2 linked regions of the Nothobranchius furzeri genome follow. The protein of the gene in region 2 interacts with the protein of the main gene of each other region in a biochemical or structural test. Links are inferred from orthologs where the notes say so. Each region holds a gene or a part of one and is shown on either strand. Other genes may lie near its edges.

Evidence for each region.
Region 1: the proteins of mxd1 (region 2) and protein max form a complex in vitro, tested with the Homo sapiens proteins (4 studies listed by BioGRID, with this or other methods). The link is inferred for Nothobranchius furzeri from reciprocal best matches to the Homo sapiens genes MXD1 and MAX.

Annotation. Positions count from the first base shown.
Region 1 is NC_091758.1:33,258,251-33,263,011, forward strand, and holds the start of protein max, read right to left. Parts: upstream 3,139-4,761; 5' UTR 2,995-3,138; coding exon 2,959-2,994; intron 508-2,958; coding exon 400-507; intron 1-399. UniProt on the Homo sapiens protein: Transcription regulator. Forms a sequence-specific DNA-binding protein complex with MYC or MAD which recognizes the core sequence 5'-CAC[GA]TG-3'. The MYC:MAX complex is a transcriptional activator, whereas the MAD:MAX complex is a repressor.
Region 2 is NC_091757.1:29,115,414-29,120,175, reverse strand, and holds the start of mxd1 (max dimerization protein 1), read right to left. Parts: upstream 3,092-4,762; 5' UTR 2,976-3,091; coding exon 2,951-2,975; intron 2,552-2,950; coding exon 2,507-2,551; intron 1,831-2,506; exon of another isoform or gene 1,050-1,830; coding exon of another isoform or gene 983-1,049; intron 580-982; exon of another isoform or gene 522-579; intron 418-521; coding exon 318-417; intron 1-317. Other genes in the region: snrnp27 (U4/U6.U5 small nuclear ribonucleoprotein 27 kDa protein), read right to left, coding at 3,359-3,413, 3,727-3,791, 4,056-4,135, 4,246-4,361. UniProt on the Homo sapiens protein: Component of a transcriptional repressor complex together with MAX. In complex with MAX binds to the core DNA sequence 5'-CAC[GA]TG-3'. Antagonizes MYC transcriptional activity by competing with MYC for MAX binding.

The DNA.
Region 1 (4,761 bases), on a different chromosome or scaffold from region 2:
TCCTATTTTTGCCGGATGGCGGAACGGTGGGCGGCGCACTGCGCCGCACAGCCGCAGTAGTGGAACAGCTCTGATTGACTACAACGGGACCGATTTTGCTGCAGAGTTCGTGCCGGAGCGGAGGTAGTGGAATTTTGGGGTAAGTGTCCGGTAAGTCGCTGCACTCACTGGGGTGAGTTTTAGTATTTAACTTCTCAACTGTGAGCTCATGTTTCCCTAATTCTACAAACTGAAATAACTTTGATTTCTGTCTACAAAAGGATTACTCAGATACTACATGCAATCCCAATAATAATAAAAAAAAAAAATGAAATCACACATCAAATGTGAAAAATAGCTACAGATTGCTAACAAATAATATAATTATTTTCTTCACACTGTGAATTCACTTCCCCTTACCTTCTCCCCTTGTAATGAAGGCACAGAATCTCTTAAACCATGAAAGCTATCCTTGATGTGGTCCCTCCGTTTGCGCTCCAGCGCATTGTGATGTGCTCGTTTGTCTGCCTGCAAAAAAAAAAAAAAAAAAAGAGTAAACAATTTTATAATTCAGACATTTTGTAAAATCAAAACAAAACAGATCCCATGAAAATGTACTCATATTTGCTGGACTCCGTTACTCTGGCCTTACAATATCATCTCAATCCTTATTTGCATTCAAATAAACAAACAGCACACAGGTCGTTGTCTAGCTGACGGTGTGTGTGTGGAGTGAATGCAGGGAAATGAATGGGTGTTTCATGAGTCTTTATTTGTTTATAAATAATTCAATATTAAAAAACGACCAGGACTAATACAGTTTATATTCAAAACTCAACAACAAATGAATCATCAATAAAAATGTTTGCAAGGATGCTTTCATTTGGTCTTTCCTGCCAGATCACTCACTCACACTTCCTCTCATGGCTAAACTTGTGCATGTTGTGGTCAATTAAAAATCAAAACAAGAATAAACACACACATTTTAAGCCTATCAAACAATATGCCTCAAGTAATTTTCAATTACGATCTCAATATGCAGTTTTGTGATATGTTTGTGATATATTTCCACATATGGCTCTATTTCCAAGCATCAACAATTCTTGGAAACAAAAACAACTTTTTGTGTCCTCCGTCAGTGCTTGTACATCCAAGGTTCTTCAGCAGCTTTTCTCTGTTTTATTAAGCACTCAGAAATGTTTGTTTATTTCACCACTAAACAGCCTAAATATTTTAGGTTTTACATGGCCAGAAAACTTCTAGGGAAACTAGGGATAAGCCAATTTATCAGGCTGACTTTACCGTTCTTTTGCAATACCGTTTCATTGGCTGATATAGAAAAAATGGTAACTATTGGCCCAATTTGCCTCTTTAGTGAGCCAATTTAAAAACAGGCACATCCTTGGGTCAGTATGACTGCTACACAGATGCCTTTTCCTGCCTAAACAGCTTCTTTCCTTCAACTCTGCTAAACTCAGCTAAGCTACTGCTAGCAGGTAGTCTCAAATTAGTGTTAATTTAGCATGCAATAAGGCAGAAAACGTCTAGTCATCAGAAGTGAAAATCTGTAAAACAAATGGCAGCACATATCGGCCATCTGCTGTGGTATGTCGGTATCGGCAACAGAAAACCCATATCGGTTGATTCGATTAGAAGCACACAAAACAGATCATAATGAATAACGTAGCAGTCTGGAAATTATGTGATGCTCTTGTTTTAATTTCTTGTGGTGTCTCTGACAATAAATACCATTGAGTAATTGTGTTAAGTAACAGTTTGTTTAATATTGACCAAAAAAAAATTGTGATTATGATTTATTTGCCCCCATGATCCAGCGGCATTAGAAAAGACATTAGCACACAACTCTGTCAACATGAATTTATTGTGTACACTTGTTAAATTGCTTCAACAATAAGGGCTCAACTTGTCAACAAGTGCACGCTTCCGGCAGCTGCATAAGGATCTAAAGCTGCAACTCAAACAAATGTGGGGAAAGAACAACCCCTAGCAAAAATGGGATTTTAGCATAATTTCCCACTCTGACAAAGCTTTGTGCACGTTTCTGTCCTGCAAAGTCTAAATGAATCTACTGTCTGCTCGGTCAAATCAATTCATATCCTCCACATATGTATTTTTAAAGCCATGATGCATTTTACATTCGTGCAGCTTTAATGGAGATCGAGCGACGCCAGCCAGTGTGTAGAGAGGTCGGATGATACGTGAGATACCAAATGGGTCAAAGAGAACATCGAGTTCTTCATGCCTATCCAGTTTAAAGAGGTTGTAGCCAAGAAAATAAGACAGGCGATTGTAATCTTATGTCCGATTTTAAATGAAACACGCATTACAGAAACGGTTGTGACCAGTGCTTAACAGGCCTGGTTAGTATGGTGACGTGTATGGATCAACCTCATATGTAGTTTTTTTTAATGAAACGCTCGCAAAGCAGAGTTTAAAACACGATTGGGGGAAAACATGAAACATTTTGTTTAAAGGGAAACATATTTAAATGTTTCGCCGAGCTGACCTTCCTTACAGCAACAGCTTAGCTCTGCTGTTCGTCTAGTATCTCGTTTTCAGTTTCGATCACTTCAGTTGCGTTTCAGCGAATTTAACATTTTCTTCTCTTTAAATGTGCTAAAAACGGCCAAGATGTAATAAAAAATAATGATTTAAACAAACGGTTGTGTTTGGAGAGGGGGAAAGCTAATGTCGCTGTTTCTCTAATGCTGTGAAACAGGGTAGCTTATTCGACAGCCTCGTCTCATGTGCTCGATTTTTATTTATTTACCAAAAGCCCGAAATAAATAAAATCAAACTAAACAACTTCCACAAGTGGCAGGCCAAACGTTAAAAAAGGAGTTAGCCAGGAAGCTAACAAGTTAGCACAAACACACCAGTGGGGGGTAGGGATATTTATGTAGCCTGGTCGGCTAACAGACCAACTAGCTAAAACAAGGAAGAAACTGAAACACCTACATCGCTGTCGACTTCGATGTCATCGTTTTCACTCATTCTTCAGTAAAAACAACCTAAAAAGAAAACAGGCAGCTGTCAAAACAAAGTGCAGCGACAACTGGAGGTGACCACAGCGTAGCACAGAGCTCCTGCTAAGGCAGAAACATGACATGCAATCAACCGTTTTTCTCCACGTGACTCGCCTACACATGGAACGGAAAAACACACACAGCGCGTGCGCTTTAAAACACGGAATCGTGGGAAATGAAGTATTTTGAACAATACTGCCCTTGGGGGCGATTTTGAAAAAAAAAAAAGACAGAAATTAATTTTATTAGATATATCAAATTATTAAAATTTTATTTCCATGTTTGATCATTTTTATTGATTTCATTCCGGAACTGCGCTGCTCTGGGTGGCTGCATGTTGGAGTATCACCAGTGAACTGAAGAATCTGCTAAATGAAAAAAAAAAAGAGCCTTCAAGGAGGGAGACAGGGAATTATTGAGGAGTATACAGAAGCAACTGAAGATCAAGATCAGAGACAGCAAGGAGGCATACAGGAAGAAGCTGGAGAACAAACTACAGAGGAACAATAATAGAGATGTCTGGTCAGGGATGAAGATCACAGTCTTCAAGCAGAGGAAGGATTGCACAGATGGCAGCCTGGACACAGCCAATGAACTGAACAAGTTCTTCAATAGATTCAGTTCAGGAACAAACCCAGCATCCTCCTCGCCTGTCCCCAGCCAATCAGACATCCCATCCTCCTCTGATCCAACATTTTTCTGTCACACGCCAGCTCTTTTGTCCTCTAACACAGTCATGGAATCTTGTGGTTCTATAAATCTATCTTCAACCAAGTCAGGAGATGCTGCTGCCCCATTTATCTCCCCCTCCCACCTATCTATCTCTAGAAGTCAGGTGAAGAGGCAGCTGGAGAGACTGAACAGGAACAAGGCTGCAGGTCTAGATGGTGTCAGCCCCAGTGTACTGAAGGCTTGTGCAGAGCAGCTCTGTGGGATTCTGCAGCACCTCTTCAACCCCAGCCTGGCCCAGGAGAAGGTTCCAGTCCTGTGGAAGACATCCTCCCTTTTTTCCAGTTCCAAAGAAAACTCGCCCATCAGTCAATGACGACTACAGACCGGTTGCCCTGACATCCCACATCATGAAGGTCCTGGAGAGACTCCTGTTGGTACACCTGAATAAGCAAACTAGGACATATCAGGACCTGCTGCAGTTTGCTTATCACCATGGAGTTGGAGTTGAAGATGCCATCATCCAGCTGCTTCAACCAACCCACTGTCATCTGGACAAAGCAGGCAGCACTGTGAGGGTCATGTTCTTTGATTTCTCTAGTGCATTTAACACAATCCAGCCTGATGTACTTTGCCAGAAACTCCAGAAGACACAGGTGGGGGCCTCAACTATCGCCTGGATTAAAGACTACCTGACAAACAGACCACAGTTTGTGAGGCTGAAGAACTGCACATCAAACCAGGCGATCAGTAACATTGGAGCACCACAGGGGACTGTACTCTCACCATTCCTTTTCTCCCTGTACACCTCAGTCGACTTCCAGTACAAATCAGAGGCCTGTCATCTACAGAAATACTCAGATGACTCTGCAGTTGTCGGGTGTATCAGAGATGGACAGGAAGCTGAGTACAGAGAGCTGGTGGAGCGCTCTGTGGCATGGTGTGGAAACAATCATCTGACCTTGAACATGAACAAAACAAAGAAGATGATTTTAGACTTCAGAAGAAACAGGGTGGAGTCAAACACCGTTTCCATCATGGGAGAAGAACTGGAGGTGGTTGAGGA
Region 2 (4,762 bases):
TGAGGAAGTGTTAATCATGTTAGTATGTAACCTGACTAAATGAGTTCCCATCAGAAGATAAACTGCATTTACCTGATGACTGCCTGGGCCGCTTTAACACGATAAAAGCTGAACTTAAGATAAAACAGAGCTGTAAGTTCTCGTGTTAATGCAACTCAATAATAGAGCATTTACTGGGTCTTCTGCTGTCTGTGAAATCGGATGAAAGCCTTGGTTATTCTTTAAACGTGATAGGAGTCAACCCTTTAACCCAAGCGTCCTGGCTGTGTGCAGCACCCCCCCAGGTTTTCAATTCAACAAGCTGAGTATGCCTTTACCTGCTACTTGTGTTTTTCTTGCTTTTGCTTTTCCTTTTCAAGCTTTCCCTCTCTCTGCTGCTGATGAAGGGTGGCATGGAGGCATAGCCGTGTTCAGCTTCTGCAAGCAAATAAACAACAGTGGTCACATGTCCTGTTATCTGCAAACATAGCCAGGGTGGGAGACACGAGATGTTGCACACATCCCCATCTGCATCATCTTACATCCAATGTGTTATGCTGGGATGCATGCATGGAATGAACGGATTTAATAATGCAGTATCTTTAAACAGTGCCCCCCCACCCACCCTCACAGCTTGGACAATGATGTCATCCTGAACTACGATAAACCCTACCAGCAAACCACAACAGAAGGAAAGGAGGAGCTTGCAACTAAACATTGTGTTCCTATATTTTTAATAGCATTTGCATGATTTCTCCTTTCATAAAAGATGCACAATGCACGTTAATCACTGCACCATTCATATTTTATAAATCCTATTTATTGTCATCATCATAGTCAACGATGAACACCTGGGTTAAGAACAGGATGTGCAACTTAAGAATATAAAACCTATTTGCCGGACGCATAAAGAGCCCGATCAGCGTGATAATGGGCAGACATGAACGAAGTGGGAATGTGTTGTTTTTTAACAGCATAGAATTAGAATTAAAATATACTTTACCTCGTTCCCTGCGATCGAGGTACTCTGCTGCTTCGATCAACATCTGCACCATTTCGATCGACGCCATTTTCAACAATAACACTAATAATATTACAATAATCCAACGAGGGATTCCGTTACTGTAGTCACGCTTCTATTTCTGAACTCTTGGGTTCCCTGTTGTTCTCACTTATTGTTCTAAAATGTTGTTTTCGAGTTGCTTCTGCAGGATTTCAATCAATCGATTTTTAAAATAAAAGGTCCCGATAAAAGACGTGGAAAGCGAAACTGGTTTCTCCTATATAAAAAAACAGCTTTAAAGGCTTGGTGGTAGCCTTTTAGCCACGGTAGACGCTAACACTTCCCCACAGCTAAGATTATACCTTTAAACCATTTGATTTGGGTGACTTAGTATCACTGGTTAGACGAATCTCTCTTCAAGAAATACAGATGGCTGTTGATAAAAACGAAACAAAAAATCGATAGTATTTTCTGACTAGTTTTAGGAATAACAACAAAAAGTTGGCAAACGTTAGCGACTGACTACAAACGACTTTAGGTTCAAGTCATCAGCCAAAAAACAAAAAGATGCTGTTAGGCTGGACGCACTTGCCGGAAATCAGGAATATTTTAAAAAGATGAACTAATTCCTGGATTATCTTGACGATGCAATCCAGCCGTTTTGGTTCCAGACTTTTTGGCTAGCTGGTTATGTACTGGTTATCACTAAAAACGCGTGCCTCGTCTAGCTGAATGTAACGACTGACACAGAACGGCGGAAATTTGTCAAAGTGCATCCAAAATAGAGGCTTATGTGGATAGCAGCTCCCAACTGTACTGTAACACAAAGCCGCTGTGTGCTGTCACATGATTGGATGTTGACTATATCCACTCCAGCTTTTATTGGCTGTCTAAAACATCAATGACTCAAAGGGATCGACCCACACTGCAACTGATAACCGTCCACGCCATTTTGGTTCTTAAGTGAACTAGACCGATGTCTGTGGACTAGACAGTAAACAACTAGGGAGCCATAATGGACGGCTTTTCTCAATACTGAATTCACGTTCTGTGATTGGCTGTTTTCAGGTAAACTTGTCAGCTATTGGCTCCGATGCCCACGAGCTCACGAAAATGTCAACGTCCCTTTAACAGAAGCCACGCCTCCCTGCCATGCTGTTTCGTGGTGTACGGCTGTGATTGGCTCTCGTGGTGTTGTTTGCCTCACTTCTTCCTTCTACGATTGGTTTGATAGTCCCTTTACTTTTCCTATCACAACCTGCAATGTGCGCGCAAGCGCACTTTCACAAACTTTTTAATAGAAACTTTATTACTCACATACACACACATTAACTTGTTACTCTGTGAAAACATCTAGACTGAAATATCAACGCACGTACCAGCGCGCCGGGTGGACGGAGCTTACGCAGTGTTACGAGTCCAACACGCCCACCATAGTAGGTTTTATGCAGGAATCTATCTGAATAGAATTTATATGTATACATTTCTAGCAGTGCAATAATCTGCTCAATCAATCTGACTGACCTCCGTCGCCGCTCATCACTTCCGCCAGGTTCATTCGCCGGCACACTGAAAAGAAGCGGACCCGCATTCAAAAAAAGTACACAATGTTCCTGAATGCAATCAACGTGAAACGACGAAAAATATGTTAACAAAACAAACAAAAAAAAAAAAAAAAAAAAAAAGAAAGAAAAAAAGAAAAGAAAAGAAACCGAGACAACTCCTTTATCATTCTCGTGCAACGAAAAGTACCTTCCAGGTACTCTTATGCACCAAAAATCCAAACCCTAATAAAAAATAAATAAAAAATGCAAGAACATTTACAACACACACTTCTGTTGTTTGAAACTTCAATAAAGTTAAACTTTTATTTAATCTATCTTTAAAGCTCCGCTTTTGCATAGATGTGTGGGACTGTGAGATGCTGCAGTAATCTGACAAAAACTTTCACATTTACAGAAAACTCACAATATGTGAAGATCTTTTGACACATTTGAGTTTTCAACTGGACTAGTGGCTCCAGCCGATCTCAGGAACGACCCCAGGTATCTCTGTCCAGAGGAGACATTGGATTAGACGAAGCTCCCTGGTCTCTGGTACTAGTGACGACTCCTCAAATACATCAACACAAATTGACATGTTTGTGCAGATCTGGGCAGAAAAAGAAACACATGCTCTACATAATCAGCACACCATCAATTTCAAAGAGTTTATTTCCAACAACACGTAAAAAGCACAGCAACAAAAACTAAATAACTGAAGGAACAACTACATGTTGAGTGATAATATATACACAGAACTGCTGCATCACATTTAACAGCATGTAATCCATGTCCTCCCCTTGCTGGAAAAAGGAGGAAATGCAGCGTGACATTTTCAAGCGATGAAATCCAGCGGCCTGTTGAATCCTCCCTTTCTGTTCATGTACTGCCTGTAAAAACATTTAGAACAACAGTGCATCACAACTTCCCTCTCAACACTTGCAGATTACATCATCAAGAGTCAATAGGAGAGCAGGATTCTCTGCAGAGAGACACCTGCTGACGTGATTGGCTACTTTAATAGTGGTTGCTGCTTGTAATGCCAATTTCCCAACAGGATAAAACTTTGTTTATTAAAAATTAGCTGCTTCAACAATCATTTTAAAAGTCGCTCTGCTTAATGTGCTATGCACAAAATTCTCCATGACACCGCTAAACTTCAGTATTTGCAGGCTAACTTGATATTTTTCTCTGTGAACGTACCTGTACTTTCTCTTCATGCTAACGTTGATGGCAAATGCATTAACTGATCCATCTGTTTTCTTCCCCTGTGGGAAAACAATGTTCAATCACAAACAGAAATACATGCTGCAGATGCTATCCTGATGTGGTCTATTACATTTACAGTTCATCAATCAGCAAACGCTACTAGACAGTGGCTGATGGTGCACTTCCTGTCTTGTGTCGTTTTCTGAATGTCAAACAGTCTTAAAACTGCGAAGTATCAGCAAGCATGAAGCCGTCGTGGTGAATGGCCACAACTCAGGAACACAGCGCCACCTGGTGGCTGCATGCACACATTTTTCACTCACTTTAGAAGAATCAAATGAAGAAAATCCCATTAACTTCATCATTTCAATTTCCTCCTCCGTTTTGCCCTGCATGTCCTCTGCTGTAAAAACAGAAAGAATATCTGATTTAACTCATTGTTTAAAGACGTTTATAAATGTCCAGCAAACTGAACAAAGGATTTCTTTCTGAAAACAATCAGCAACACAAAACCTGAGATCTGGATGGGCTTTGAAGACTTGTCTTTCACTTCTTTGCGCTCATCATCACGTCTGTCCTTCTGTCTCATGGGAGACGACGAGGAAGAGCGGTGGCGCCTAGGGGGAGACCTGTCCAAAGAGCATAAAGACGGCTGCAGGACAAAGGATCACAACAACTGAGGAAGGAAACATTATTGTCTAAGAAAGGATAGAAGGGTTCATGTCTACAGGCTAAAACAGGAAAATGAGAATCTGGTGCAAAAGTCCATTCATGTCAGTAATCCAGCTCAGACTGAGAGACCATCTAAAGGCTCAGGAACCTTTTGCTGTTCTGGATTCATCAGCTGATCAGAGTGCGACAACTTGAGTCTAGAACATTGATCCTTTTCACAATATTCTAATCATCTGAGATTTTGAATGGGGGGTTTCATCAACAAATAAAGGCTGAAACATCTGGATTTGCATGGAATGACTGTCTCATAGATTAGTTTCACCTTTTAAGTTGAATTAGTGAGATTAACAAACTTTTG